Diceros bicornis minor: one gene and its partners. The protein of the gene in region 1 purifies or fractionates together with the protein of each later gene. This does not show direct contact. Links are inferred from orthologs where the notes say so. Each region holds a gene or a part of one and is shown in the gene's direction. Other genes may lie near its edges.

Region 1 (7,525 bases):
TTGGGTCCTTTAGGCCTGTCCTGGGCTCTTAGACTGCAGCACCGGAAACTTCACATCTGAATGGCCAGGAGACAAGGGTATAGCAACAAGATAAAGGAGAAAAAGTTCTGAGAAGTCTTGACTAAATGCTAGGCATAGTTTATTTTTACCACACTCATGTAGGTATTCTTTTTTTTTTTTTTTTTTTGCTGAGGAAGACTGACCCTGGGCTAACATCTGTGCCCATCTTCCTCCACTTTATATGGGATGCCGCCACAGCATGGCTTGACGAGCGATGTATCAGTGCGCGCCCCGGATCCAAACCCCGGGCCACCAGCAGTGGAGCACGCGCAGTTAACCGCTATGCCACGGGGCTTGCCCCATCACGTAGGTATTCTTATTCTTAGTTTACGGATAAGGAAATTGGAAAGATAAGTGACTTGCCAAAGACGTCCAGCTAGGAAGCAACTAAACTGGGATTCTGAACAATAGCTTGAGTTTTCCCCTTGAAGCCGTAGGGTACTTTGGGTTGGGGGTGGGAGCAAGTCTCAGATGCCCCTCATCTGGATATTCCCAAGCTGACAATGGTCTTCTATAGCTGGCAGAGGTTCTGTCAGCAGGGCACTAGCACTGACGCTGACATCTTTTTGGCAGAGTCACTGAAAGGCAGGCCCTAAATGTCAATCACAACCCATAAGCACCCTCAAGAACTATGAATGAGTCCTTTTTGTGAATGAGGGGGTATATGTGTGTGTGATGCCTGTGAGAGAGCGTGTCAGAAGGTGTGAGAGTTTTGAGTACTGTATATGTGTTGTGAGTTGAGGAGGCATGTATATATGTGGTTGGGAGACAAATCTTGCGTCTTTGAGGATAATTTTTTTTGGAAAGGGCCAGAAATCATTTAGAACTATTTGGGGACAAACTGCTCTTGGAGTTAGGGAAGTAGGGAGGGTGGAGCAGGAGGGGAGGCTGTTTTTATCCAGAAGCCCCAACCTGGACCATGGTACCCTAGTGTGTATAGAGATAGATAGCACATGGGGGCATAGACAAAGCTCAGGCTTTGGGCCCAGAATTGCCATGGCTGCTTGACTTGGGCAAGTCATTGTACTGCTCTGAGCCTCAGTTTGCTCAACTACAAACAGGATAATAATCCCTAACTCACACAAAAGAGGCCTCCTGGGAATCAGAACTTGGCTTCCCAATGTGACTTTTCCAAGGAAGCTCTCACCCAGATCCGTTCACTGTTCCGTCCTCACTGATAGACAGTAGGGAAGAGGTCGGGTGGATGCAACCTTCAGTGCAGCTGGAGGGCCAATGCTGCCAAATCAAATACTCACTTTCCCAAAGAGTCTGGGACTGGCTGTGCTATGCAGGCATCAATGTACTGAGTCAGAAACAATCACTGGACCCCTTCCAAGGGGCCTCTTATGCCTGACTGCTGTGGGCACTGGGGGCTCAGAGGTGAAATTAGATAGAGTGGCTATGCTCTAGGAGCTCAGTCTAGGGGGTGTTCAGGAGGGGATTTCCACCAGCGTGGTGCACTCAGGAGGGTAGGAAGTGTCAAAAAAGTCTGGGTCTCTGAGTGGGAGTAACTATTCTAGTTGCAAATGCTCCTTAAAGGAACTTCATCCACAGTATACCGCTGTCCAGGCTTACACTCAAATGCTTGGGCCTTTGGCCTCCACAGAAGCTCAGAACCTAACTAGGTATATTAAAGCACATTTTATCACATTTGATCTTCATAACAGGGCAAAGATTGCTATGTTATCCTCTTGTACAAGACAGGAGGCTGATCCACAGAAAAGAGATTAGGTGGGACTCAGCTTACAGACTAATATTCTTTCTGGTCTACCACTCTGCCTCATCTCACGTTCACAGCATGTGTTATGCCTTCATCTAGGGCAGAACCTCTTGGGAAATAGAGCAGGAATCTGAGATGGGGCTCCAGACATCGAGGGATCTCTGATCTGATGTAGAAAAACTTGGTCCTCACTCTAGGGAGCCCCCAGTCTGAGAATGAACCTCAACCTCTATGGCCCTGTCAGGTGTTGGGCCTCCCACTGAATACACAGTCCTCATCTCCTGGCCTTTCCCCCTCTACACCCTTCCCCTCAGTGATTCCATCAACCAAGCTACTGCCCAAATTCTAGTCCCCACTCCACCTGGGATGATCTGCTGCCCTTGCAAATCAGTATTTCTTCCAGTCTGCCCTCTCCTTAGAGGCAAGCTTCCCTCCTCATCAGACCCCTCACCCCCAGGGACTCTTGAGTGAGAGAAGGAAGGGTCCTTAGAGCCTGTCTTTGTACTCCAATTTCCAGCCGGGGGTGAGGTGGGGGGGAACAGCCCCAGAGGGAGGAAGGGACTTGCCTAAGGATATACCAGTCACTGGCCATGCTATGTCTAGAACCCAGATCACCCAACCACCAGCCTCACACTCTTCTGCCTCTTCACATACCAGGCCACTGACTCCTTTCCCTCCATTACTCACACTGAATCAGTCACCCAGTCCCCTTGAGTCTTTCTTAAACACCTCTCCTTTTTTATTCTTGCTTACCCATTGCCACTGCCCTGGTCAAGTCCTCATGACATCTCACCTGAATTGTTGGGACTGATTAACTGGCACAGGCCCCCATTCTGCCCACAGGACTCTTAAGACCCTTCACATTCTGCATATCCCACCTGATCCACACTAACTTCCTTTCCCGGATGCCTCAATCAACAGGTCTTGCTTGCTCACTCATTGTGTGCCCTGGCCCCAGGCTCAGCTCTGTTGAGCGCAGACATGTGGAGTAGCCTTTGCCTCCCAGAAACTCTTTTTGGTTGAAAGTTATGACAAACACTGCAAATGATTCTGGGAACAATCTGAGGCAGATCTTTGACTTGAGGGCTGCTGAAGGTAGGGAAGGCTTTCTGGGTTGGGTGGCTGGGAAAGAGAAAAGAAGCCTTCTCTCGGGTCCCCCCCACCTACCCCTCCTACCAGAAGGTGTACCTCTGAGGTTTCCAAACCAAGTATTACAACAACCTTTGTGCCTCACCTTGCTTCCTGTAGTGACTCCTCACTCAACCTACTCTCAGAGCCCATCCAGCTGCTGGGATATTGAGTATCTTAAACCATAGTTCTGGGCTTGTGGTCCTGTGACCATGCTGCTTGCACGTTGTGTTGTGCAAGTCTAAGAATTTTAACCAGTTATTAAAGTCTTCTGCCGTTTTGTTCCATCCTTCCAACCCTGATTTTCATTACTACAGCCACACTTGAAGGTCCTTAACAATGTTTTGCATTTACCCCTTTGTGCCCTTTGCTGAAAATGACTTGCCCCTCCATTTCTGCCTGATGAAATCTTGAAGACCCAACTTGAGTGCTGCCTCTTCCATGAAGACTCCCAGTTTTCCTCAGCTAGAAAGAATCTCCCTTCTCTGAGCTTCTATGGATGTGTATTTATATATACATTCCTGCCTTGCCTTAGCTCTTTCTGTAGCATACCCTCAGCTAGGTGTGGAGCCCTTGGAGGGTACAGAGCATTTCATCCAGTCTCTGTAATCGTACCCAGCAGCAGGTGCGGTATGAATGTGTCTGCCTCACCCACATTAGATGCTCAGACAAGTGCCTGTTGCCCTGAACGCAGGACTTCCCGCTTACGCTGCTCATTTTTAGGCAGGCGCCTTAACAGAATGGGCCAGAAACGGTTCGGTTACACAGCCAGGGGAATCGGGACATTCCAGCCGGTCGCTAGGGTGTCCGTACCCGCCTCCCTCTGCCCGGCTCCAAATGGGGTGTGTATGTGAAGGAAGTGGTGGCCGAGTAGCCCCGCTAGCTCCTCCTCTGGGTACACCCTGCGGATCTCCCAAGGGTCTCAAGAAACTCGAGGCGGCGGTGCCGGAGAGACAGAAGCCTCTGCCATGGATGGGCCTCCCACTCGCGGCTAGTTTTATTTATTTATTTATATATTTTTGGAGGTAGGGGGCGTTCAATGAAGGGGAAGAGGTGGAGCGAGGGGAGGAGGCGGGCCCAGGGTGACTGACGCGAGCGCCGGGGAGCCAATGGCCCATGGGGGGCGTTCCCCCCCATTCAGGACTCCTCGCCTGCCTCGGAAGGTATGTTAAACAGCTGCTTTTCATTTGGTCTCCCCAATCTCGGGCGTTTGGGGGGCTAGTTCGCCGGCCGGTCGTTTTGGCCAGTCCGCCACGGTGCGGGCGCCGAAGGCCCCGGTTCGGAGCTAGGGGAGGCTCGGAGTCCGGCAGCCGAGGGAGGCGAGGGGCAGGCCAGGAAAGAGAGCTCTTGGCGCCGCCCGCCCGGCAGTGTGTGTTTCCAAGCCGGGCCCGATCCGTGGGGAGGGGGTCGGCCCGGCCCGGGGTCGCCAGTGCGCTGGCAGTGCTGCCTAGTTTATTTCACCGAGCAGTCAGTTTCGGTAGGTTTCGGCGGCGGACTGGGTAAGGGGCGGGCAGGAGGAGATCCTCCCCGCTCCTGGAATGCCTAAAAAAAAATTATTGTAAAGAAGAAAAAAGGAGAGATTCCGTACACCGACTGGAACTGGGCCCGGGCTGCGGCGCGCGGGCTCGGCAGGGGGCGGCGGCCTGAGCCCGCGGCGCCCGGAGTTGGTCGAGAGCTGGAGTTAGCTAGCGAGCCGAGGCCCGCGGCTTTCCCCGCTAACCACGCTGGGCGAGGGCGGCAGTCGCCGCGAGGGTTTTGTTTCTGTCCGCAAACTTGTCGGAGGGGGCGGTGGGCCCGCGGTTGTTATGGACTCTGGGGGCGGGGGCAACGCTGGACTCGCGGGAGGTGCTGCTGGGGGTGGGGGAGGACACCGGAAAGAGCCCCCCGCGCCTCGGCACTCGCCCCGCGCGCCGGTCTGGGCTCTTCAAACTCCCGAGCCGTGGCAGTAGAGCCAGCATTCGGTCCCGGAACCCACCAGGCCGCGAACCCGCGCGGAACTCGGCCCGGGGATGTGGAAAAACCTCCAGGAACTCGGCGGCTTCGACCCGCGGCCCCAGCTGATCCCCTTGCAAACATGGAGCTCCCTCCTTCCCCGCCCACCCTAAGGCGGCGGCGGCGGCGGGTCCCCGCCGCACCCCCCGGTCGTGCCGCTCGCCCGCGGATGGGGCGGGGACGGGGGCGCGGGCGTGTGTGCGCGCCCACGAGGGGTTGCCTGAAAGGGGCAGTGAAGGTCGGAAACTGGGAAAACAGTCTTCACGCTCAGAATCGGGAAAAGGAAATGCATCAGCGGGCGGGGAGGGGCGCGGGGGGGCGCGCCTGTCAGCCGGGATGGCGGCCGCGGGCTGGGAGGCGGGGCGCCGGCGTGAACCGCCGGGGTTGGGCGGGGCGCGCCGGGAGAGGAGGCGCAGGGGCCCCGGCCCACAGAGCGCCGGGTTGCCCCAGCTTCCATTCCTTGGCCTAGCCTATTTACTATCGACTCCGGCGGCGGCTTGTGCAACCAGCCCCGAGCGGGGCCGAGGGGCGGGGCCTTGTCTTGTCTCTTCCACCCACCTCGGGCTCCTCCAGAGAGCCCGCCTTCTCTTGTCTTCCACTGGCTGGACGAGACTCCCTTTTTTCCTTCTCGCTTATCGATTGGGTGACATTCTCCCGAGCTCCGCCTATCGGAGACCGGGCTGGAGTTTAAGTTGCTAGGATTTTTTTCAGTGAAGGGCGGAGGAGGATTCTTGCGGCCTACGTGTGGCGCAAGGTCCCGCCCCCACTTCTGGTTGGTGAGATGGATAGTCCCGCCTGCTCCGGCGGAGCGAGCTTGGAGAGGGAAGTCCAGCCCTGTTCCCCGCCCCCTCCCCTCGCTTGTGTGCGCGCTCCGCACATGTGTGAGGCCCGCCTTGCTCCTTCGAACTGTCCTCCCGCCCGGAAGTCCCCGGTTCGGAGCCCTTGGCGGGGGGAGGGGGGAAGGGAGAACCGAGAAGGCACACAATGATTCCTCCAAGCTCGCGACCTGGTAGTCTTTGTGATGAAGTGTAAGGGTGACGGTGTGGAGTGGATTTGGGGGGCTTAGCTCCGGGGGTTCTGCAGAGGTTGGGAGGAGGAGGTGCGATCTGTCCTTCCGGGCCAAGTACTAAAGTTCGGACTATTCCTGCGCCTCTCGACTTCCAGGAGACCACCCTGAGCTTAAGCTTGAGAACGCTGCCGACGCTGACAGTGTGTTTTCTTCCCAGCGCAAGGCAGCCGCAGTCCTTACTTGGCTTTATCTAAAACTCTGAGCAACCTAGGATTGGCCTGGATGCCTTAGGCAAGATCCGGGGTAGCTCATCCCCTGTTGACCGAGAAGTCGGGGCGGCCCAATCCTACTTGAGTTCGAAGTGGTTCTTGATGTCCAGGTAGGAGCACCGTGTGGCACCCAGTCCAGGGAGCGGGGGACAGCCCAAGTTAAAGGTAGCCCTAGGTCATTTCTGCGTAAGTGCCGCTTCTTCGTAACTTCCTACAGGTTTGGCCGAGGGGTCGCTTCGGTCTGTGTGACTTATTTTTAGAGCTCCGTTCTGGGGCAGGGCTTGGCTCCCGGCGAGACTGCTCCCATCTGTCAGCTACTCATGGAGTTCACAGTTCGCTGCCTTTTCCTTGCGGCTGGAAGCCATCCTTGGAGTCAGGCCCACCTGTTGCCAGCGCTCGATTCTTGCCGTCTCCGCTGGGTTGTGGAAGGAGGACAAGACAGGAGCTAGGAGTCGGTTGCGGGGGGCCTGCCACTTGGGGACTGACTCTAGCCTCTCTTGGGGGAGTAGCCTTTTTGCTAGAGAGAGCGGGAAAACTCTGGCCCCGCCCCCTCCTCTCCTGGCGCTCTGTGAGCGCCCCCCAAAGCAAGGCCAGAGTCAGTTCTTTGCCCTATTTGGTGAATAAATAAAAGCAACCTAGGTGTTGCAAGCACTTTGTCTCTTGTGTTCGAGGCACTATTACCTACACAGAGAGGGCCTAGGTACTGCCATTAACACTCGTTGGCCAAGGAGGAAGTGACCAGCCGTTCTTATTATCTTTTGTCTGTAACTCTGGACCTTTTATCCTTTCTCTGAAGTGTGGGGTGAAGGTTCCTTTATGCTGTGGCCTGTTTGGTCTCCTTCCTCAATTTTTCGAGTCTGAGGATGCCTCCAAATCTACCCTGGAGATCGGGAGTGCCTTAAGCCTCACGCTCCGCCTTCAGGAGGTTTGCCAAGGCGGTGGCTGTTAGGCTCTGCCTTCATTTTGGTTATCTCCGCCTTCTTAGGACTGCATATTCAGGTTTAGGGAGTGTCGGTGTTAGGAGTGTGCAGCTACCCGGAGCTGCGAGCTCGCAACTCTTGGGGCTATTTCTCGGCTTTAGTCTCCAGCCCTTAATTCTGTACTCTACTTACTGAAAGGAGCTGTCGGCTGCTCCAGATATTTGTGCTTACAAGGACGCAGCATGCAGAAATGTAAATGGTAAAGAGAGAACTGGATAGGATGGATGAGGTTCTTTTTCTCCTTTTTTATGCTGCTACCTCTCCCCTTCAAATCCCACGGCATCGGATCTCGGCTGCTGAGCTCCGCGCAACCTCCTGTTTCGGGCCCTGGAACTCTCCGCTCCAGTCTCTAGTGTAAACATTCCAC
Region 2 (8,154 bases), on another chromosome or scaffold:
TCATCTTTGTCTCTCAGCTCTGAAAGCCCTCCTTCCCATGAAGGAGACGCAGCCTTTATGGAACATGATGCAAACGCTCTGCCCAGTCATTTGTCTTGTAAACTTGTGTTTTTGATGCACCAAGAGGTTCCACCCCTCCCCCTCAAACTAGGGCAGCTATTGCCTCCAATATTTTTTCTTTGGTGGTAAAATCTCCCTGTGAAGGGCACAGCTCTTAAATTCATTGAATTTTGGTAAGTGTTTTCCCCTGTGTGATCTCCACCCCAATTAAGACGTGTGCCATCTCCATTAACTCAGGAAGTTCTCTGGTGCTGGGGTTCCCAGTCAATCCTCTGCCTGCCCCCTACCCTCAGAGAGAAGCAGGCTTCTGATGTCTGCCCCCATAGATTCTTTAGGCTGGGTCCTGAATTCCACATGAACAGAGTCGTACGGTATATACTTCTTTGTATCAGACTTCTTTTATGACGTTTTTGACGTCCATGCACCTCTATCAGTAGTTCATTCTTTTTTATTTCTGAGTAATATTCCTTTGTATGAATATGCCACAATTGGGATTTATTTCCCTGCTGATTGTACCCAAAACTTTAATTGTAACATAGTCAAATATATCAATATTTCCCCTTACAATTGTTGATGGTATTTGGATATTCCATAACTCTATGGAAGGTCCACTAACAGTTTTTTCTTAGTACTTTTATGGCTTTTATGTTTTTAACACATCTTTCCTCCATCTGACGCAGTAGGAATCCAACTTTATTCTTTTCCCTCCAAATGATTAGCAGGTGCCCTCCCACATGGTTTTCTCACTGATTTGAAAAGCTACCTTGATTGTACGTTAAATCCTTACAGGGGTGATGTTCAAAATAGTTACCAATTGGTATGGTGCAGGCACTGACCAGCCTGTAAGGATGCCCACCCAGAGCAGCTGGGACAGACGAGTCACATACTGGCTGGATATCGGCAGGAGTTCTTGTGTTTGCTGGGGGCTGTTTCTTTACTTTCTGTTATTTTCCATCGCTCTGGGCCAGTCCACGTTGTTTTCATTCTGGAGCCCAGATATGTTTTGTTTTCTCTCTCATCACTCTTGTTTCTGACTGTTCTCAAATGTTTATTCTTCCAGATGAACTATTCCACCATTTTGTCAATTCCCATGAAGTTCCATCAGAATTTAACGTTACATTTAGGTATTTAAAATGTTCTTTTGCTAATGTGATGGGGAATTTTCCATCGAGTTTTTCTAATGCATATAAAGTGTTTAGCACAATGCCTGTCCCATAGCGAGTGCTCAATAATGTAAGCATTTATAAGTACTGAATATTGTTAGCATGTCTGAAAGTTCTTGTTTTTTCTATATATTTACTTTATAATTGGCCACCTTGCTGAAGTTCTAATTCTAGGGTTGTTTTTTTTTTTAATTTGAGTCTTTGGGGCTGTCTTTATTTCTGATCAAAGGATTTGTTTTCTTCTGTTAACAATGGGATTCGTTTTCTTTCTAAAGCAAAGCGTTGCAGACTCTTCTATAAAATGCCCTTGTATGAGCCCCATCTGGACGTTCCCTGGTGTTTGGGCTGTGCCTGACCATGCCGCTCATGCTCAGCTCCAGCGTTAGAGACCTTCCTTCCACCGTGCAGAACTCTATTGTACTGAGCTCTTCCGACAGGCTGTGGACAGATCTCCTTCAGCCAGACAGCCCCTTCAGAGACCTAAAGACACACACAGCCACACACACTTTCAAGTCCTTCTTCTCCAAAAAAAGGAAAGTGTGATTCTTCTGCATGCTGGCCCGACAGTTACCAGGTGCCTCGCTTCCTGAAGCGCTCTCAGGACTGCAGGTGAGGCCTAACTGCCACACAGCGATGGGACCATTCATTCTTCTGAATGCAATTCTACCTTTTAGTGAATCCCACCGAGGATATCCCAGAACTCTTTCATGTCACTTTTTCTTCACTTGTAAAATTAATTTTACTAGACCTATATGCAGCATTTTCCCTGCATTTCTCTTGATTATTGAACACTTTAAATAACCCTGTTCCTTAATTTTTATCATTTAAATGTGACTCAGTCACTGATCCTGTTTCACCTTATACGAAAATTGATGAGGGTACCACTTCCATCATCAGCCAGGTCACTAGTGGTAATTTTCTTCAGCTGTGTCTTTTGTTTTAAAATTCTGCAATTCACTATTCATTTGCTTCAAAGTTAAGCTTAGGACAGGCATTTCTACCCACAACGCCTACGGTTTTCTTTTTTGTCACTGCCGTTGAGTCAATTCTGACTCCTAGCGACTCTCTGGACAGCCAAGCTCAACTCTGCCCCGTCTTTCTGAGCCAGGCTCTTACTTTCCAGAGCTCTATCAGACAATGCTCCACTGCTATTCATAGCGTTCTCATGGCCAATTTTTTTCAGAAATGGGTAGCTAGGTCGTTCTTCCTAGTCTGTCTTAGTCTGGAAGCTCCACTGAAACCTGCCCACCAAGTGTGAGCCTGCTGATAGTTGAAATACCGGTGGCATAGCTTTCAGCATCACAGCAACATGCAGCCACTACAGTATGACAACCGACAGACAGGTGGTGTGGTTCCACGATTGGGAAACAAACCCAGACGGAGGGAGGGAGAGCACCAGATCTTAACCACTAGACCACCACAAAGTTTTCTAATCATTACTTATTTTTTCAAGATATTTAACATATTACAAAACTGTGCATTTTCATTTTGAAAATTGTATTTTTATCCACATAGCTACATTTTTTCCTCCAAAAGTCACTGATCAAGAACGACAGTACAACTAATCTCTGCTCATTTCTAGAAGGAAAGGCCCTCAAAGTAAGCAATCACACACATCTGCCAACATCCCACAGCCTGACTTTATCACCGATACTCCCGCAGGCTTCAGCTCTGTTTGCCTCTGGGATTATTCTAAGATTGATAAGTAAACTGAGCTACTTTCTGATTTTCTTTTAAGTTTTGGAGAGTTGAAAGAAAAAAATTCAAAAATTCCACATTACAAAACAAATAAAAGGACATAAAACCACAAAGGAGCGATTTTCATTAAAACAGAAATACTGTTTCTTTTCCCCCTGGAAAAAGCATCTGGGCCATAACACTAAGTTAACAAGCGATGAAGATTTATCAGCGTCTTTTTTCCTTGATGTGAGAATGAGTATTGAGGGTGTCAGTGAGGGAGGGTGTCTCCCTCCTTTAATCCAGCAGGTAATTTCAGATAACCTTGTCACCTCTGGCAATTTCTCCATCGATTTTTCTTCTTCTTTCATGACCAAGTTCTCAAGATAGGTAATACTCCTGTTCCCTCTGACATCCCTGTATATCTTCGTATGTAGTTCAGTGTAATTCTGTCTCCTGGTTCTTGTTACCAAAGCCTGAGAAATAAGGACATTTTGGTATTTGAGGAAAAAAACAATCCCTTGGATGCAGTTCTTAAATGATCTACCTGATTCTGCTTTCTAGAAAAGATGCTGCTTTAGTTAAGCACCAACATATTTAACAGACTTTGGTTATTAAGATCTCAAGCTTTCTGAGCAGTGTTCACCATTTTTGGTTGTGAAACATGCTGAGAGGTTTCAAAGTATCCTGCATGATATAAGGTTTCATGGAAGCAAATTAATTGTAGATCTCTTTTAATTTAAACTATAGATTCCATATAGCACTTTATGAAAGGAAGTGTTTTATCAACAAAACAACGATGAAACGCTGCAATTTGAATACCATTGTTTTAGTCTTTCCTTCCATCGAGACTGGATCCGCCAAGAACTGCCAACAGGTGTATTCCCATGCAGGTCTGAGCACGCAGGACAGGCTATCATCAGCAGCATTTAGTTTCTGGAGGGCACCCGTGGGAATCACGAACCCTGTGGCTCCCATGCACGGGCACACTTTGTCTCACTTGGTGAACACACGGGATTCTGAAAAACACTATGGGCACGGAGGCTGAAAAGTTGTCACTCTTCTGCGGGACACATGGGGTCCTTTAGCGCGGCGCAGACCACCCCACCGGCAGCCTCAAAAGGCTGGGCACTCGGGCCAGCAAGGACCTCGGAGCACCAAGGACCCAGGTGAAATCACAGGGCGAGCCCATCACCTCCTCCGCCCAACCCTGGATTCGCAGCCCCGGCAGCCACGGCGGCCTCGCCTCAGGCGGCCCAGGACCATTCCCATCAGCGCAGGCGCGCTGGTTCCGTCCCACGCCCCCTCGCCCCGGAGGCCGCGTTCCCGCCGCGGGGCAGGGCGGGGCCCAAGAGCCTGCGCACTCGTCCTCCGCACGGCCCCTGCGTCTCCGGGCGCACGCAGCATCACGTGACCGCTGCCAGTACCCAAGATGGAGGCCGCAGCCAGGCCTGACCGGCTTCCCGCTTCAGCCCGCGCCGCGGCGTGCGCCCGCCAGGCACGCGGTCCTGAGCCCTAGGGTGGTGGGGGGCAGCTCTTCGAGGGCGGTCGAGGGGCACTTGCCAGGGCCAAAGGCCGTATTTACAATCACTACTCGCTCGAGCTCCCCGTGCTTTCTCAACCGCGAAGCGCCCAGTGGCTGGCGCCTTGAGCGTCGTTTAGTACCCCCGCCCTGGGGATTGGCAGCTTCGGCAGCCAATGGGGCCCAAGACATGTGCGGGTAGGCGGGCGGGGGTGGAGCATCCTTGCCGTCCGTAGAGCGTCCGGTCTGGCGGTTGGCCGCCGCGGGACGAGGGGCGGGAGCAGACGGGGCTGTACCTGGTGTCCCAGAAGACCAATGGGAGGACGGCCGGGCGCCCGGGGAGGGCGGGCGGCGGGCGGGGCCGAGCCGTAATTGACGACTTCTTCATTAGAAACCAGGCAGGAGGGAGGGGCTCGCGAGGGGAGGTGATGCAAGGCCACCGCAGCCAATGGCTGCAGCGCCGCTGGAGGGAGGGCGGGGCCGGCGCGGCTGACGGGCGTCGCGGGTGGCCTATCAGCGCCCGGCTCGGTGGTGGCGGGGGGGAGCAGCATCATGGTTCAACGTGGGTCAATTTTTTGTGAATGAGGAGGGGAGGTTGTGGGGCCGCCGCCGCGGAGCACCGTCCCCGCCGCCGCCCGCGCCCGAGCCCGCGCGCCCGCCCGCCGCCCGCCCGCCCGCGCCGCCGCCTCAGCCGCCTGGGCCCGGCGCGCCGCGGCCGCGTCCCCGCTGTCGCCGCCGCCCGAGCGCCCGCCGCCCGCCCGCCGCCGGGGTGGTGGTGGTGGCGGCGCAGGCTGAGGAGATGCGGCTCGGAGCGCCCGCGCGGGGCTAGAGCGCCCGCCGCCGCCGCCGCCCGCCGCCGCGGTAAGCGCAGCCCCGGCCCGGCCGCGGGCCATTGTCCGCCCCCCTCCGCCCGCCGCAGGCCGCCGCTCCACGCCCCCCGCCCGCAGCCGCCCGGCCCCGGCAGGTGGACGCCCGGCTCCGCGCCCCCGGCCCGGCCCGTGCGCCCAGGCCGCGCGCGCCCAGCGCTGGGGCTCTCCGGAGCGGGAGCCGAGCCCGCCTGGACCTCCCCTGCAGCCCAGACAGAACGAGGGCCGCCGCCAGGCGGGGGGCGCACGCCGCCCCGCGCCCGCCGTCCAGGCCGAGCCCTCGGCAGGTGGGCCGGGGGCCCCGGAGCCCGCCGCGCCGTTTATGTAACTTTGTCACGCCTGTGAGTTTGCAGAAAAACGTCCCTCCCGGGCCCGCGGCGTGGGGTGCGCCGTCCGCCGGCGGGTGCGCCCCCGGCCCGTCGCGGGAGGGGTGGGGTCTGTCCACGACCCGGAGGGGGTCCCCGCAGGATCTCCACGGGCCGAGACGTGGCTCCGTCCTGCCCGGAGGATGGGAGCGGCGTTTCCCGGCATTGCAAACACACACCACGGCATTATAAGCAAATTATCTCGTATTTACATTGAACGTTGAATTATTTGACACTGTTATAGCAGGAGACTGTGCGTATCAGTCGGAAAGGCCGGGGGTGGAACCCAGTGTACTCATTTAATGCACATCAAAAATTTGTAATAACTTGCAGCCGCTGATATGAGTGTTTTCTTTATTGCATGTTGTAAATTGACCTGCTGTGACACAATTTTCAAATAAAGCGTGGCAGAAATTAAACTTAAGTTATTTTAAAACTAATGACTTTCTTAACTAAATCCTAATTGCATTACTGTAGAGACCTATGTAATTGCTTGCTGAGAGCAGCTCTGCCTGCCCTCAGTGGGGGAGGACCGGGCCTGTTACTTTGCTTCCCCGCGTTACTCCGGCTTTTTTGTTTATTCCCACAAACCATCTAAGCATGGAAGGCCTGGGAGTAAACATGTAAACAGCCCTCGCCCAGCGCCTGCCCAGCAGGATTGAGGGAATACTGGTGGGTTTGCTCCTTGGCCTGGTTTCACTTTTTCTTTTGTAATACGATCATGGTTGCCTGGAGTTTTAATTGCTTCTGATAATTCGGTGCATTATTTGAGAGACCGTCCTGTGAAAGCTGGTGTGGTGGCTTCAGAATCTAGCCACGAGAGGTGGTGGTGGTGATTGGGGAGAGCGAGAGAGATTGAATTAAGAAAACTCAGCTGCTTGTACACAAATATACTCTACAGCAATTACAAAGCAACAAAAGTTATTGCAGAATTTTGCAGTAACTATGGCAACACAATTACTCTATTATAATTGGGAATGCAAAATGCCACCCTGTTAGAAGTTTCATCAGGATGGAATTTTGGATATCAAAAAGATGTGAGATTTAATTTTTTTTCAGGTAGCTCCTGAGAATTCTACAATCTGTGTTCCATTATCTATTTTTAATTCTGATCAAGCTTTCCCAGATATTCCACTCCCTGGGATCTGTGGCATCTTTCCCCAGAACTCACATTTGTGTGGGAGGGAAGTATTTTCCTGCCTTAAAAACACACACCCTGACACATTGTAAGACTTCTCTAGCTTTCTGTCTTCTGGACTTTTATTTTAAAGATCAAATACCTTCCTAAAGAGAGCAGTAATCAATCAGAAAAGAAGCAGGATTTTTGCGGCAGGCAGATGTAACACTGCCCTCTTTAGGGTTAGTTCTTTCTCCTGCAAGGGGAGCTGGCAGCATGAGTGCCCCTGGGGGAGCCCTGGGGCCGGGGTGGGGGCTGGGGGATGGATGACTGTGGTCTGCACGGAGGCCTGGAAGGCCTAGGGACCAAGGACAGATGTGGCCTAAGCAGCCCTGAGCCAAGAGAGAATGTTCTGTGGTCAGCAGCTTCGCAGCCATGCAAAATAAAAATCTCCAAATGTTGTGCTCTCAGAGGCCTTGGGGGCTGTAACTGTAGCAAGATGGACAGAACAACATGGCACCGTGGCCATGTGCAGCTGGAGCGGCAGATCTTGACTTTCAGTAGTCAGAAACCTGCTTTATACGGATGGCCCTCTTGATGTTTACCAGGAGGACTCGAGTTCTGGAAGTTTCCACACATCGTGGGGTTGCTGCAGTTTAATTTCATTATAACTCTTTCTTTTTAACTACTGCATATTTATGCCCAGTAATCGACTTCCATTTTCCAGCTTCATTGTGAGGTTTCAATGCTGCATGAATGGCTTTGAATTCTCATCCTTTGATGTTGGGGGTGGCACCAGAGGAAAGGGACTTTGTGCCGTCTTAACTGCTGGAGCAGAAGAAACATGTCATGACTCCTGTAGAATTCGTCCATACCATTCGTTCTCTATTGAAAACGGCTGGGCTTTCATGGCTCAGAAGCTGCTATGAGTAATAGATTAATACCTGATGTAGGGAGTGAGGGAGAGGCAGCGAATGAGAGGGGATACATGCCTGTCCAGCCTCCGTGGAAGCTTCGGATTTTGCCCTCGTTCTGCAGCCTGAGAAGCTGGGCCTGAGCTCCTGCTGTTCCAGCCGGAGGGCGAGTCCCTCCCCGTTGGTTGCAGCCCCCTCCTTGGGCCTGGGGTGGAGGGCAGGGGTCGAGTTTGGAGGGGGTTTTGTTTCAGTCTCAGATGGTCAGCATATGCTGTGGTGTGCAGTGGGCTCAGGGCTCTTGGCTTTGACCTTAGAGGAAGGTACAGCATCTTCTGGTTGGAGTCAATCTGCATTTTAACAGACCTTAGCAACCTATGCTTACAGGGCGTTTCTTTTGGGGAAAAAATGTAACTGAACCAAGATCAATGAGTTCTCTTCATAAGGTCCCTTTTCTTCTTTTGGGCTTATGT
Region 3 (7,754 bases), on another chromosome or scaffold:
ACTGCTTTGGTTACAAATAAGCAAATTATGTACGTTTCCAAAAAAAATAATTAAATCATTAGGACAGCAGCTACACTCAACATAGCAATCTGTTCCACTTCTCAACACAGACATTTACAGAAATAGCTATACAATGAAACAAATTCTATCATTTTTCAAATGAGATATATGTAATAATAACATGGACAATCTTGATTACCAAAGAAGAGTTAAGTAAAATGACATACCAGAAACAGAATTTTCAACAGATAGCAGATCCAGGTCTTTTAAAAGTGGAACACCTTCCTTCATTTTTCCACAAAATGAGGCTTACTCTAGAAGACAAAGATTTCTTTCAGTTTTGAGTATGCTATAGCCCACACACTCAGAACACAGACTGGTTTATAATTCCTTTAAAAAAAAAACTGCTTCACTTCTCAACACTTTTACTGATGAGATCTATGTCAAGTACTTTACCATGGGTAAAAAGAAATCATGAAAATGTTTATAGTGTTCTGTGATTAAAAATTCAGATATGGGAACCATATGAACGGTAAACAAATCCATAGGGATGTTCTAATTTTGAGATTTCTAAAATATCACGTCAGGAAACTAATTATAAAGCCTCATTTGAACCCTCGACCAAATAAGCAAAACATTCTGCTTTCAAAATAGCCTTCTACTGGGGCCAGCCCGGTGGCATAGTGGTTAAGTTCGTGTACTCCGCTTTGGCAGCATAGGGTTTGCAGGTTTGGATCCCGGGCGTGGACTTACACACCGCCTATCAAGCCATGCTGTGGCAGCCATCCCACATATGAAGTAGAGGAAGACGGGCACGGATGTTTGCCCAGGGCCAATCTTCCTCAGCAAAAAGAGGAGGACTGGGAACAGATGTTAGCTCAGAGGTACTCTTCCTCACCAAAAAAAAAAAAAAAAAAAGCCTTTCATCACAGAAACATTACTAAAAATTTGACACTTTTGATTTTGTAGAAAACATTATTCTATTAGTTTGGGGTCACTGAAATAGGTTACAAAAAACAATTCTACCATAATTTTCTTCCATTTATATCTAGGAGATGGTCTAGTGACTGTTCAGTTAATACTGATTTACAGTCTCCTTCCATTAAAATATCATAAACACCTTAAAAGAATTGAGGAAAAAAAATCTTGCATAACTATTCTTATGGGTTCTCTAAATGCACATTATATTAGCAATTACAAATTAAAAAAGTTTTCAAGGTTAAGAGCATCTGTGGAACATCGTAAATTCTCAGAAGAGAATTACTGTTAAAGAAAACTTAAGTTAGCTTATTTCACATATTTTGTATACAAAAGCACCTACAGATTCATAAGAAATACTGACAGAACACCCATCATGTATCAGGCAGGGACACACAACAGTGATTAAAACCTCAGCTGCTGCCCCTGGGAGTAGGGTCTCAAGCTGGGGAAGAGCCAAACAACTGCAGAGTAAGTGTGATGAGAGAGGCATGCAGAGGGTCTTGTGAGGGTAAAAAGGCACCAAGAGAACGCACTTAAGGATGGAAAACTTTAAGGAAAGTTACAGGGAAACATACAATAGTTAAACTCAAGTAACTCTACCATAAAAACAATTTGTTTTTAGTTTCCTCTCAATGTCACTTCTGTGTAGCAAAAGGTTTCACTGTATAAATGCCTAACTATTCTAGAATGAAAAATTAGTTTTAAAAAATCACTCCAAAGGTCCCAGAAAAATTTCCAAATTTATTTTACTATATGTGTGACTAAAAAGCTGTGATAATTCCACTTGAATAAACAGAGACCCAGAAGAAAGATAAAGCTAAAATAAAATAAAGCTAAAGAAAAAATAGAAAACAGGGGTGGGGTGGGGTGATAAAAGAAAAAAGAACAAAAAATGTAAGTGTGGTAAGAGCAAAAGCTTTCTGATGGACACCTGTGCAAGGATCAAAAACCTTAAATGTACAATCCCTTTGGCCTTTTATTTCCACTTCTGGGAATTTATTCAAAAGAAATAATCAGGGATGTGAAGGAAGATCTAGATGCCTAGAAATTTTAGCCACAGATGTCAGTTCTTAGGCAAAATCCTTTGTACAACATGCAGGATATTTAGACATGTTGTTGCTATTACAGAAAAATTAAGACAACAGGTTATATAAATTATGGTACACCTATCCTACAGAACGTTACACACCTATGAAAAACGCTTGAAGGACAAAATATTTCCCATGTTCCCAGTGTTCTCCACAAAGTAAAAAACATGAGTGACAAAATGAGCACGACTAGAATGACCTTTATTTTGTAAAACAAAACCAACAAAAAAGAGAAACTCCTCTGCATAATATGTAAGTATTAGTAATTTCCAAATGTCCACTGACATGCATTATCTGGATCAGATAATACCAATTTAAGTTGGGCAGTGGAATTATAGGTGATTACCCCCTGGAAAGTTCAGCAGCATTATACTGTTTTATAATTTCCTTAAGAAAAAAAAAAATCGCTTCACTTGCAAACTCTTACTGAAATATCTTTTCTATACACCAACTTTTTAAAGATTTTATTTATTTATTTTCTCCCCAAAGCCCCAGTAGATAGTTCTATGTCATAGCTGCACATTCTTCTAGCTGCTGTATGTGGGACGCGGCCTCAGCATGGCCGGAGAAGCAGAGTGTCGGTGTGCGCCCGGGATCCGAACCCGGGCCACCAGCAGCGGAGCACGCGCACTTAACCGCTAAGCCACGGGGCCGGCCCTACACCAACTTTTTAAATATGGAGGAAAAAAATCACAAAAATGTTCATTTTATGCCGTAATAAAAATACTAAGTACTTAAAAAGTCAGAAATGGGACCTTCATGAATGGGTAAGCCAATTCATAAGTATGTCCTAATTTTGTGATTTCATTCTAAAACATCACATCAGGAAGCTAATTATACACACTCAAGTGAACCCTTGACGAAAAAAAACACCTTTCAACTATCATTCTTCCATTCTGCTATTTATGGCTCTACTTTACTGGTCCACAAAAAACTTTTCCAGACAGTTTTCCCAATTCTAAAGATTTTTACAGATATTAGAACTCACCTCAGTAATACGTGGGGATATTTGTCACGGAGAGGTCCTGTTTTCTTCAAACCAACTGCCAAAAACAAAAACCCCATAAATTATTAAATCACTCATCCATTTTCCAGCCTGGAGCCCCACCAACAGAGCAACAGGGTTCAAACAGAGGTATTACAAGGATAATTTTAAGCAGCTATCAAGATCAATGTGATCAGGTCACTCAACAGAAATACCAACATACGGTTCACTTTCTTAATAAGTAATTTTGAGAAACATCACTGTGATTAATGAAAAACTCATTCGGCTTTAATTAAGATGTTCTTATTGAGTAAATTTAGTCAATGTGGATTATCCACAATATTTTACGTTTTCTTAATTATTTCATTCTTTAAAACAACTCGCCAGTTAATGCCCCTGTTCCACCATTTCCAACGTGTTTTTGTTGTATTTAACAGAACACAAGACTTGACTAACAGCACACCACCAATGGCCGCCCAGAGCCAAGTCCTCCCGGGCGGTCCTTTTATCTGGAGTGTTTGCGCACAGTCTGAGGTCAGGGCAGCAGCGCGCGGGCCTCGGGCCGGGCACCCAGGGCGCTCCGCCGCTTCTCTGACCCCGCCGCGCGAGCGGCACGCGGACACGCCCCCACGCAGGGCGACCGACTCAGAACCCGGCCTCCCCGTCCGCGGGAAGGAGGCGCCACAGCCCGAGGCCCTCGGCCGGAGAACCGGACAGGCTCCCAAGCCCGCTTCCGAAGGGCGGAGGAACTGCTCGGAGAGGAGCACAATCCAAGACATCTCTCACTCCCTCGACAGGAGCCCAAAGCATGGGCCCGGAGAGAGACGTGCGCGTCCCTCCACCTCCTTCCCTCTGGCGGCGGGAGCGGAGGCCTCGCCCCCTTCAGCCCGGCCCCCATCCCCGCCCCGCCGCCCCGAGAAGCCTCTGCCCATGGCTGCCGCGCGGCCCCTCCACTTCCGGTGCCGGCGCCGCCAGAGCTGCGCCATCCCCCAGTCCCTCGGACAACCAGAGCTTCCAACTGACCTTCTGAAAGGTCCGCGGCTCCTCCGACCTTCCCCAGGTGCTGTCCTGCAGGGAACGCTGAATGGGTGCCGCGCTAAGATGAAGCTACGGGACGAAGACGCCGCTCTCATCTTGCCAGAAACATAAAATGCGCTAGAGCTGCGGCCACCGCTGCCCAGACAAAATGGCGCCGAGAAGCCAGTTTAGCGCAGGCGCCTTGGAGAGATCCTGCCCCGCCCCCGTGCAAGTTCTGGCCGCAGCTCCGGGTTCGGTTTCCATGGGACACTTCACCGCCAATCCTCGTGCCGAACTGCTCTTCCTGACCCCTCCACGTACCAATCAGTGCTCAGTCAAGCACATCCGGAGTCGTCTCTACCAATCATCTCTCAGGACTTGCTTACTCAATACCAGAGTCTCCAGTAACGTTAGCCTTCGAACACAGCCAATCATAAGTGGAAGATGTCCTACCTGCTGTTTTTCGCACCAATCCGGGAAGTTTCAGAGCTACATCCAATGAGGACGGCAGGTAGCGAGCTCCAATCCGAAGCTGTTCGGCGTCATGAGCAGCCAATGGGAGTTCGTGTAGAAGCGAGTCTGCTCAACAGCTTGTTATTTGGTGGATTGTGGCAGTAAATCGGGCGAGTGGGGAACCGGGCGCAGGAACTGCCGCCGCGGCCGGGAGTGGTGCTGCCCAGACGGGGGCCCACGGGGGTCAGTGAAGCGGAGAAGTCGGGAGCTGACAGCGCGCACTTCGCCCGCAGTTGGTAGGTGGGGAGAAGGGAGGCGGGGGACCCTGAATGGACAAGGCGGTAGTAGCAGCTGGTGCTGCTGCCCGGGGTCCCGGCGCGGTTGGAGGCTCTGGAGGCGAGGAGGGAGTGCGAGGCCAGGGGCGCGGCGAGCGCAGGGGAAGGGGCAAGTCGTGGGGCAGCGGCAGCAACTGCAGGAGCCGCCACCGCAGCCGCCGCCTCGGCCGCTTGCTTCCCGGGTTCCCCGGGAAAATGGCTGTGGGGCTGGCCGCGCCGCTAAGTTTGCTTCCGCGCGGGGAGGAGCGGGCAGCCTGCAGGAGCCGGCCCCCAACTCCGCGGCGCGTCCTCGGCTGCAGAGTCCGCGGCAGGACCCCGGAGGCTGGGGGCTCGTTCCGCTACGGGCTGTACAAAAAGTTGAGGCGGGCGCGGGAGGAGGCGGCGGCTGCCGCTGTGCGGCTCCCCTCCCCTCCCCTCCCACACCCTGTCCGGCCGCCTCCCCTCCTCCTCCCCGCCCCCCGCCCCGCGGGGCTCCCCTCGCGCCCCCGCCGCCCGCCGCAGGCCGCGGCCCCTGCCCCCGGGGAAACGCGCTTCTCCTTCCTGACACGGTGCAGCGCGGAGGAGGGAGAGCAATGGCGCCGTGACACTGCTGCCGCCACCGCGGGCCTGGGGCGGGCCGAGGGGCCGAGCGCGGAGGCGGGGCGCGGGCCAGGTCGGGGGAGCCCCGGCGCGCCCGGCCCCCTTCCAGAGCCCTCTGTCCTGGGCTCTGAGTGGAGCGTTCGGGTCCGAGCGGCGAGCGGGCGGGGGCGCGGGGGCCGCTGGCGAGCTCCGGGCCGGCGCGGCAGCCCTCTGGCGCCCGCGGGGCGCCCGCTGTCCCCGCGGCTCCTGCGTCCTGGCCGCCCTCCGAGGGATCGGAGCCCTCCGCTCGGGAGGCTTCTGCCCCTCCCCGCCGGCGTTTGTTTACTTTCTTTCCCCGGTCGCTCCCCTCTGTTGACTGATTCTGTGCCTGTCTCTCCCCTCCCCGTGGTTCTAGCGACGGAGAAGAAAGCTCGCTGAGCTGGAACCCCACAGATCACCCGTAAAAATGAAGGTAAGTGGAGTCGTCGCCGCTCTGAGCCTCGTGCCCTGGACACTGCCTGTCGTGAGGCTGGTGCTGTGGAATGTCATTTTTTTTTTTTTTGCGACTCAAAATTGATTCCTCTGCTAAGCAGCGCTTTCTGAAAATGAGGACGCGTTGAATGGGTGAGAAATGATCATGGTGTCTAAAGGCTGTCAGTTCGGCCCCTCTCTAAGCAGTTAGCACTTGGGAAAGGCGAGTGCAGCCTTTCCATTGTTGTCCATTGGGCTAGTATTTTTAAACACTTCCTGTGTTGGCAGCAACCTTTGCAGAAGTAAAGCTTTTGTCCTGCTTTGGTTCTTTGGGGGATTTTTTGAATTTTTTTTTTCTTTCTCAGTGCCAGTGCGATTTTCTAAGGAAGGAATATGTGGATTGTGTAAGGGAGATATAATTTCTTTTGGGGATAAAATGAAATTATGTGGCTAAAATACTTGAAGTTAAACTAAAACTAAGTATTAATACTTAGTTTTTGTTAACTTGTTATGGTAGATATTTTTAGACATATGCAACTTAAAAAAATACATATTCTTGTGAAGACAGCTAATATTGCAAAGATCCTGTGAGATGGTTGAAGGAAAAGGAAAGTACAGCATTCTGTAGTGCTGTGGCATTGAATGTTTCAGGTCAGTCAAAGGGATTTTTCAATTTGCATTATTTGTAAATGCACTGACTTTAAAAGGTAGTTAATTCCTTACTAATTAGTAAATTTCAATGTATTAAGCTCTGAAATATAGCATTTTCCCAAACTTTCTCTTGTTCTCCTATCTCCCTGAAGTGACACATGTAACCTTCTTTAATGTTACTTAGGAAACCTTAGTGGAAAATGAAAAATCATTTTCTACTTTCTAAAGTGTACACTGTTGCCTTTGCATTTAGCAGTGTGAAATCAAGCTTATTTGAATACACTTAACTTTTGAAAAAAATGGGTAAAACAACAGACTGAGATAGCAATCATTCTGTTACTGTCAAGATTAAAATGAGTGGTAGGACAAAATTTCTCCTATCTTTTAATGTATCATTCTGATCATGGCCGTTTGCTAAAACGGATGTTTTAGATGTTTAGATGTTTCTTAGTAAAGCTTATTTTTTAAAATATATACCAAGAAGATTAATGTAATAATCTGGGTATAGCTACAAGTCTTGAGCCGTCAGTTCATATCTCTGTATTTATCCGCTGAATTTAGACTTAAACCTTTAAAATACAGCTTTTAGCCAATGATTTTTCCAAATAATGCTCTCCTTTTCAAAAGGATTGGCTTCATTTCTTATCTGTACTGTTATACTGTATCCAAAAAGATGTTGCCTTTATGTAGCTATATTAATAAACATTTAATTATGTATTGTTAGTGTTAATTTTAATAGCAATATTTCTTTTAATTCCAAAAGAAAATTTTTGAGAAGCCATAATTAAATAACTTAAAGTTTTATGAGAACTTAATATGAATATAACTTTTTCTGTTTTTTCTTATCTTTTCATTTCTTAAATAAATTGTAGAATTATTGAAACATTTTGTATCTGGATGAAAAAACATATTTCCCTACTGATATCTTCCAGTTACAACTTAAAATGTTTTATGTTATCAGGGTATAGTTTATTAAATAAAGCATTGTTAATAAAGTGTTTGCTTTAGGGATATTTTTCAAATTATCAATGATATTACTAAGCAGATAATATTAAGGTTCTTATTACTTTAAATACCCAACCTTTTAATTAGACTTGAGGTTGGAGTAGGGAAAATAGTAGTGACATTCACATTTTATGTTCCTTTCATCAGGCGGCGGATGAGCCTGCCTACCTGACAGTGGGAACTGATGTCAGTGCCAAGTACCGAGGTGCC
Region 4 (8,104 bases), on another chromosome or scaffold:
CAAGTTGTTACCTATACTTCTGACCAACTGGCTATAAATCAGAGATTCCAGAGACCCCTTCCCTGGATTCCATTAATTTGCTAGAGCAGCTCACAGTACTGAGAGAAACCTTTTACTTACTGGATGACAGGTTTATTATAAAAGGACACAATTCAGAACAGCCAGATGGAAGAGATGCATAGGGAAAAGTATGTGGGAAGCAGACTCCTTGTTAATGGTTTTTGATTCTGGTCTTTGATTCTTTCAGGTCCCACTCCATCACTGCCAGTCCCTCTCCCCAGCCAGGCCTCTCTGCCCACAAGAGCAGGCTTTTGGCCTTCCTCTGGGCCTCTCATGTGGCTTTCCTTGATCTTAACACCCCCCCAAGGCCCAGTCACCACTTTTCAGTCTCCCCTTAGACTAGGGCCCCTGGGGACACTTCAGAAGCTTCTTATTTACTCATTCAACAAACACGTCTTGATGCCTGCTGTGTGGCTTGCATTGCAGTGGCCAGGGGGGGCAATGTGGGCAGACGCCCAGGGAAATCTTCAATGGAGGTAGTAAATGGGTACTGTGTGAGCACTGCAGATGAAACACAAATGTTTAAAGCCCCGACAGGAAGGCGCAGGGTTGAGACTTTGGCAAAGGGAGGACTGTTTGCAAAGGGAGAAACACTTTTATGCTCTGGCCAATTGTCACCCTGTGGGAATGCAAGCCTGGCATTGCCAGATCTTCCAGAATTTAAAACAGAAGTTGGAAATGTGAATTATATGTGAAATCTCCTGATTCCCCAAAGTTAACAACTGACGTGATTCAAATTGTTATTTCTAAACACTAAGCAGGTCAAAGAAAACCCCTGTGGCACCAAATCTGCTTCTGAGCCTCCCTGATCCTTATGATGGGATCCACACATACCTTTCTCCTCTCTCCTGGCACAAGTCACCAGTGAAAACCTTCAAGGACAGTACCCTTGTCCCCTGCAAGGCCCCACGCCCGGTGCCTAACACAGCCTCTGCTGCAGAGCAGGTATTATTATTCAGGGCTGCAGAATATAGGTCTCCTGGTCACTTCTCAACTCAACAACCCTGGCTCCCTACTGCCTGTGGAATAGCGGTCAAACCCCTTACCCTGGCATGCGAGCCCTCCTCAGTCTGTCCCAAAGCACCTTTCCAAGATTCACAGGGCTCAAAAAATTATGTATTACATATAGTAATTGATTTAGCAGTCAAAGAACCTGCCTTTCCCCACAGCCTCTGCTCTTCTAAAGAGTCCTTAGATCGTTTATTCCACACTTATTAAGCGCCTTCTGTGTACGCTGGCTGGTGTGAGAATATTCAAGGCCTTCTGCTTAAGTGCGTGTGTTGGGGAGGGAGGTGCGTGGATACAAGGTCTCCGCCCTGGGAGAAGGGCTGCGGGGAGGGGAATCAGTGGGCTGAACAGAGAAATAATTTAAACGATCAAACACCCCTCCCCCCAAGTTCCACTACTTCAGATAGGGAGGGCAGCACCTTCAGGGGGCGTTTCTAATTCCTGCAGTTAATATATTGGCCCCCAATTAGGCATTGGCCAGAATTTTGGTTGTGGTCTTCTAGGTGCCACCCAACCCTTGGCCCTCTTCTGGAGAAAGAAAAGCACACTTCCGACCTTCGCCCAGAAGGTTCAGACACCTGAAGTACGAAGTGGCCAGAGATGTACGACGAACAAAGGGGAGAGAGGCCCGGGCTGCGCCGAACTGCGTCCCATCCTCAATTCCGTGCTCTTTAACCTGCTGCTCCAGAGAAGCGGCATGTGGAAAATTAAGAATGGTCTCCCGCGTAAAACACGACCGACGAGGATGGGATTCGAACCCACGCGTGCAAAGCACAATGGATTAGCAGTCCATCGCCTTAACCACTCGGCCACCTCGTCCCACGTCCAGCACCCCTTTCCACATTCCCTTATCTCTCATCTCCTCCGCACCTTCCGGGACCCCCTGCATCCATTCCTCAGAGCGGACTTCGTAGGACCTAGAAGGGGGAGACGGCAGAAAGAAAACGGCTTTTTGTGTTCCCTTCCACCCGCCGCAGCCGGGAACCCGCGCCATCATTCTCCAAGCCGCAGCCGAGCTCTGGCAAGGTTTCCCCTCCCTGAGCCGGGGGCGAGCTCGCCGGGGTTTCAGGACGCGCTTGGTTCAGGGGGTCGCGCAGTGATCGGGAGAGAGGGGCTATGTGTCTCTGGGAAGCTGGCAGGCGCGGCGGCGCGGCCGCGGGGAGTTTCAGAGTTTGCAAAGCGCGCGGCGCGGGCGGCGAGTGCAGTGGCTCCTCCTCGCGTGCAGGGGGCGAGCTGGCGCGCCTGGAGGCCGGCGCGGGCGGGCGGGGCTGCGCGCGGGGCTCGGCTCGCCTCGGCTCGCTTCGGCCGCGCTCGGTAGGCTGCGGTAAATCCGGGCTTGCGGCTGCCGGCGGAGCCTGCGGCCCGGTGGTCCCTGCTGCGCGCCCTGCGCCCCGAGAGCCATGCAGATGTCCTACGCCATTCGGTGCGCCTTCTACCAGCTGCTGCTGGCCGCGCTAATGTTGGTGGCGATGCTGCAGCTGCTCTACCTGTCGCTGCTGTCCGGGCTACACGGGCAGGAGGAGCAAGACCAGTATTTCGAGTTCTTCCCCCCATCCCCGCGGTCCGTGGACCAGGTCAAGGCGCAGCTCCGCACCGCGCTGGCCTCCGGAGGCGTCCTGGACGCCAGCGGCGACTACCGCGTCTACAGGGGCCTACTGAAGACCACCATGGACCCCAACGATGTGATCCTGGCCACGCACGCCAGCGTGGACAACCTGCTGCACCTGTCCGGCCTGTTGGAGCGCTGGGAGGGCCCGCTATCCGTGTCGGTGTTCGCGGCCACCAAAGAGGAGGCGCAGCTGGCCACGGTGCTGACCTATGCGCTGAGCAGCCACTGCCCCGACATGCGCGCCAGGGTCGCCATGCACCTCGTGTGCCCCTCGCGCTATGAGGCCGCGGTGCCCGACCCCAGGGAGCCGGGGGAGTTTGCCCTGTTGCGGTCCTGCCAGGAAGTCTTTGACAAGCTAGCCAGGGTGGCCCAGCCCGGGATCAATTATGCGTTGGGCACCAATGTCTCCTACCCCAATAACCTGCTGAGGAATCTGGCTCGTGAGGGGGCCAACTATGCCCTGGTAATCGATGTGGACATGGTGCCCAGCGAGGGGCTGTGGAGAGGCCTGCGGGAAATGCTGGATCAGAGCAAGCAGTGGGCGGGCACAGCGCTGGTGGTGCCTGCCTTCGAGATCCGCCGAGCCCGCCGCATGCCCACGAACAAGAATGAGCTGCTGCAGCTCTACCAGGTGGGCGAGGTGCGGCCCTTCTATTACGGGCTGTGCACGCCCTGCCAGGCGCCCACCAACTACTCCCGCTGGGTCAACCTGCCAGAAGAGACCTTGCTGAGGCCTGCCTACGTAGTGCCCTGGCAGGACCCCTGGGAGCCATTCTACGTGGCTGGAGGCAAGGTGCCCACCTTCGACGAGCGCTTTCGGCAGTACGGCTTCAATCGCATCAGCCAGGTGCTCAGAGGGGAAATGGGGCAGGAAGGGTGGTGGGTTCAGGGAGCTATGAGTGGCCCTGAATGGAAAGGAGGCAACGAGGCAGGAGGGATCATAGTTCAGGACGTGGTTGGATGGTGTGGAAGATCCAGGATGCCTCCAGAGTAGTGGGGATGCTGGTGTGCTGCTTTAGGGATGTTAGCCTCAGCTGAAGGAATGTCAACAAACTTGCTGACCTGTCTCTCCCCCCACAGGCCTGTGAGCTGCACGTGGCAGGATTTGATTTCGAGGTGCTGAACGAAGGTTTCCTGGTTCATAAGGGCTTCAAAGAAGCCTTGAAGTTCCATCCCCAAAAGGAAGCCGAAAATCAGCACAATAAGATCCTTTACCGCCAGTTCAAACAGGAGTTAAAGGCGAAGTACCCTGACTCCCCACGTCACTGCTGAGCCCTTCCCTCTCCTAGTCTGAGAAGTCAGCCTCCTCCCTCCTTAGGCCACCCCTCAGGCCTGACAGGGGTGAGAAATTTCACTCCACTTTGCAGTGGTAGCTGTGGTGTTAGAACACTGGACTTGAATATGGGGTGCTGGGATCAAATCCTAGCTTTACCACTAACTAGCTGTGTGGCCTTGAGCAAATCCTGTTCCCTCTCTGAGCCTCAGTTACCCCGTCTGTAAAAAGGGAGGTGAGAATATCTACCTCACAGAACTGTTGGGAGGCTCAGATGAGATGCTATATGTGAAAACATTCTGTAAGCTTCGTACAAATGTAAAGTATTATTAATATTATTACAGTATTATTATTATTAACAGTCTTGGGTGGGTGGGTAGTAGGAGAGCAAAAAGTATGCATGGGACAGAGCTAGAAGTCTGAGTACTTAACAACATGGACTTTTTGGAAAGAAATCAGAGGAAGGCGTTGAATTTAGTTCTTAGGTTTTGGGCAGTAGCCTAAACTTCCTGGTTCTCCCAGCCTTCCGTCCTCGGGGACTCTGGAGAAGGGAAGGGTCTGCAGGTTGTGTGTGTGGTAGTCCGCGATCTCTAACCCTCGAATAGGCTGGGCTGAGTTATTTGCCTGCCAGTGACAATGTGTAAATAAATGAGTGTTCACATCTACAGCTGGCTCCATTACTCTCCTGTACCGGGCGGGCGGGGAGGTCCCGGGTTCGCCCCTTTCACGCCGGGGGTGGGAGATGGCCGCGGACCAAGGGGCGACGGCTGCAAAGCAAGGAAACCACAAGGGCCTTTCCCGCCGGCTGAAGACCTCTGTGCATTTCGGCCGGTTGCTATGGAGACCGGCCCGCAGTATCCCAGCATGCCTTGCCCCGAGCTGTCCAATTATGAGCTCTCCGACGGGCGCCTCCTGATGATGCATACGGAAGCGCAGACAAGCCCCGCCTCCCGGAGAAGAGCGCCGGCGCAGCGCTTCCGGGAGTCCGGCGGCCAATACCCGTAGTTTCGGGGTCCTCTTTGGGAGTCGCGGACGTGAAGCCAGAGGACCCACTCTCCGCGGTGCGTATCGCCACCCCTGGTCCCTGGTTTCGCCTCTTCGGTCAGTCGGTTCGGAGCCGGCCCAATCTCCAGGGCCGAAGGGGAGACTTAACCGGCTGGATGCTTGGGGAGCCGCAGCTGGCTGCGGAAGAGCCAGTGGCGGGAGGCTTCGGCGCCCCGCGGAGGGGCTGTTGGCCTCTTCGAAGGTGGGGAAGAATCTGCCTTACATGGAGGCCTGCCCTCGAAATGGTTACTTTCTGAAAAGATAAATTGCATGTGCACGGCGCCTTACAGTTTGCTTTTCCATCTCTTACCCTTTGCGATCTTTACAACACTTAGAGTAGCAGTGCTTGTCCTTTTTTTGCACCCGAGGTGTGTGTGTGTGTGTGTGATTTACTTTAGTTCACTGAGTAGAATCAGCGACAGCTGGAGAGACTCCCTCCCTCCGCCGCCCTTTCTGGTCCCGAAAGGTAGGACTTAAGTCGCGTCTTACAGAGTAAATATATTTAACGGTTAAGAGGGATTGCGAAATTTGGGAACTGCAAGAACTGAGGCTTGAGAACGGGAAAGATAAGGCTGGTTTGGTGAACCCAGGTTTTCAGGTCAGGTTCAGATCGTTTGTGAAATCATTGAGGAATGTGACTAAGCTGCCCTCTAGGCTAGTTATTTACACAACTCGAATTGGCCTCCGGGAAAGTTAACAGAATATTGGGTTTGCTACCACTACAGGGGCCTGACGCTACCAAGAAGTAAAAGCCAATCCCTGCCCCGCAAAAGTTTGTTTTGTTTAATTTGTATTTGCAAATCCACCAGTTACCAAGTGAGTCAGTACTGTGTTAGGTGAATACGGCGCATGTGCAGCCCTGCCCTGGTGAGGCTTACAGAATGGCTGGGGAGACAGGCATGAGAATGGACAAATAGAGAGGTGATGTAAGCAGATAAAGCTTCCTGGAGGGAGTGTTGTCTACAGTGATCTAAAGGACTACAAAGCAGGGCCCAGAGAGTTTGGGAAAACATCACAGTGAAATAGAAGCCCCCAGCAAGCGGAGATTATCTGTTGAGAGGACTGTTGAGTCTTCCTCTCAGGTGATCTCTTGGTAACATTTGGCCCTGTCACTGCTCCATCCTTCTGAAATTCTCTCTCCCCATAACTTTGAGTTTCTCTTCCTCCACCTCTTGCTAATTTCCTTCTCCTTTGTAGAGGTTGCATCATCTGTCTGTTTGGTGACCCTGGGAGTTCCATCATGGGCCTCTTCTCGCTCCACACATTCTGCCTTGCTGATTTCACCCTCCCTCAAGACCTGAAAAACTCGCTAGATGCTGATGACCAGATTTCTGAGCCCAGATTTCTCTCTGAGGCTTAGATCCACGTGACCCCAGCTCTGCTCCTTCTCTCATTATATGCTACTCACTGTACTTGGAATGTTCCTTCCCTCAACCAGCTCAGCTCCTCGGTCTGGCACACCTTCCTCTGCAAGCCCTCACTGCTGCGGCAAGCTCCAGGTTTCTGTTAGATGCCTCTCCCATCTGCCTCCAGTCTCAGCTCTTCTCACACCACAATAATGGTCTGTTTCTTTGCCTCTCTCTCCCAGGAACTTGTAAACTCCTTGAGGTCAGAGACTGTCTGTCTGTCTGTCACAATTGTGCCCAGTACTACCATAGTGTCTGATGGTACCTAACATATATTAGATTTTTTAGTAAATAGTAGATGAGTGAGGGCCGGCCCCGTGGCTTAGCAGTTAAGTGTGCGCGCTCTGCTACTGGCGGCCCAGGTTCGGATCCTGGGTGCGCACCGACGCGCTGCTTCTCCGACCATGCTGAGGCCACGTCCCACATACAGCAACTAGAAGGATGTGTAACTACAACATACAACTATCTACTGGAGCTTTGGGGGAAAAAAAGGAGGAGGATTGGCAATAGATGTTAGCTCAGGGCTGGTCTTCCTCAGCAAAAAGAGGAGGATTAGCATGGATGTTAGCTCAGGGCTGATCTTCCTCACAAAAAAAAAAAAAAATAGTAGATGAGTGAATAAAAGAAAGACTGCTTAGCAGTGTTTAGTGTTGCTGCAAAGTCAACTAAGATAAGCACTGAAAAATGGCACTAGGTACAAAGAGGTCCTTGGTTAACTCTACAGGAGTAGTTTCAGCCAAGCGATGGTACTGAAATGGACTGGAACAAGCTAGAGGTGAAAGAGTAGGACTAGCAAGGGTGCACAAGGCCTTGAAAGTGTAGATGAGAGGCAGACAGCGGGGAGCAGTTCAGTGGAATGGGGTGAGGTTTTGTGTTGCTGCTTTTTCTAAATGGTGGACAATCCCTGAGCGTGTCCACAGTGTCATAGGAAGGAGCTGGCGAGAGGGAGAATTGAAGATACGGAAGAAATGACATGAGATCCCACAGGAAGCAGAAGGAGATGGGATTTGACCCAGAGCCCAGTGAGAAGACAGGAAGATTGTCGAGTGTTCTCAGGAAGGGAAGTGGAGGGTGTGGAGCACGAGAAGGGGGGAGGAAGTGCATGGTGTATGTGAGAACTGGCCATTAGATGGTGGGGTGAGGAGCTGGACCAGTAGTCCAAGTCTAGTCTTTGCAGGGCTTTGAAAGCCCCAGTCCCAAAGGCAGTGGGGAGCCCCCCTTGGCCTTTTCCATCTTATGAAGCATCACCTTGGCCAGTATTCCCAGGACTGGGATCACTAACAGTGGCCAAGGGCCTGGGCGTTTCTGTGGCTCCCACACTTCTGGAAGATGTGCAGACAGGGCCGCTTGCAGCCTCCCCACCCATCATGTGCTCAGGGTGTGGTGCGTCCAGTCACTTCCCCAGCTGTCCCTGTCTGTGGTCAGGCTTGGTTTGACTCCCCACGTGGCCGCTTTCCTGCTCGGAGCTGCGGGCTGTGAGTGATGGCTCCACTCCTCGCAGAGCCCAGATGCCCGTCCAGCCTCCAAGCAAAGACACAGAGGAGATGGAAGCAGAGGGCGACTCAGCCGCCGAGATGAATGGGGAAGAGGAAGAGAGTGAGGAGGAACGGAGTGGCAGCCAGACCGAGTCAGAGGAGGAGAGCTCAGGTGAGCCCCACACGCACACACGCGTGCCCGCCGCTCCTGCTCAGCTGGCGCTGACTG

Evidence for each region.
Region 2: the proteins of SIN3A (region 1) and HDAC4 purify together in Homo sapiens (affinity purification with western blotting; 3 studies listed by BioGRID and IntAct, with this or other methods). This does not show direct contact. The link is inferred for Diceros bicornis minor from reciprocal best matches to the Homo sapiens genes SIN3A and HDAC4.
Region 3: the proteins of SIN3A (region 1) and ARID4A purify together in Homo sapiens (affinity purification with western blotting; 6 studies listed by BioGRID and IntAct, with this or other methods). This does not show direct contact. The link is inferred for Diceros bicornis minor from reciprocal best matches to the Homo sapiens genes SIN3A and ARID4A.
Region 4: the proteins of SIN3A (region 1) and BRMS1 purify together in Homo sapiens (affinity purification with western blotting; 4 studies listed by BioGRID and IntAct, with this or other methods). This does not show direct contact. The link is inferred for Diceros bicornis minor from reciprocal best matches to the Homo sapiens genes SIN3A and BRMS1.

Annotation. Positions count from the first base shown.
Region 1 is NC_080744.1:68,206,877-68,214,401, reverse strand, and holds the start of SIN3A (paired amphipathic helix protein Sin3a), read left to right. Parts: upstream 1-4,149; 5' UTR 4,150-4,385; intron 4,386-7,525. UniProt on the Homo sapiens protein: Acts as a transcriptional repressor. Corepressor for REST. Interacts with MXI1 to repress MYC responsive genes and antagonize MYC oncogenic activities. Also interacts with MXD1-MAX heterodimers to repress transcription by tethering SIN3A to DNA.
Region 2 is NC_080776.1:26,625,720-26,633,873, reverse strand, and holds the start of HDAC4 (histone deacetylase 4), read left to right. Parts: upstream 1-4,998; 5' UTR 4,999-5,283; intron 5,284-8,154. UniProt on the Homo sapiens protein: Responsible for the deacetylation of lysine residues on the N-terminal part of the core histones (H2A, H2B, H3 and H4).
Region 3 is NC_080763.1:8,175,716-8,183,469, forward strand, and holds the start of ARID4A (AT-rich interactive domain-containing protein 4A), read left to right. Parts: upstream 1-4,264; 5' UTR 4,265-4,820; intron 4,821-5,832; 5' UTR 5,833-5,883; coding exon 5,884-5,889; intron 5,890-7,691; coding exon 7,692-7,754.
Region 4 is NC_080770.1:7,002,120-7,010,223, forward strand, and holds the start of BRMS1 (breast cancer metastasis-suppressor 1), read left to right. Parts: upstream 1-4,942; 5' UTR 4,943-5,011; intron 5,012-5,030; exon of another isoform or gene 5,031-5,051; intron 5,052-7,901; 5' UTR 7,902-7,908; coding exon 7,909-8,047; intron 8,048-8,104. Other genes in the region: B4GAT1 (beta-1,4-glucuronyltransferase 1), read left to right, coding at 2,469-3,524, 3,758-3,949. UniProt on the Homo sapiens protein: Transcriptional repressor. Down-regulates transcription activation by NF-kappa-B by promoting the deacetylation of RELA at 'Lys-310'. Promotes HDAC1 binding to promoter regions.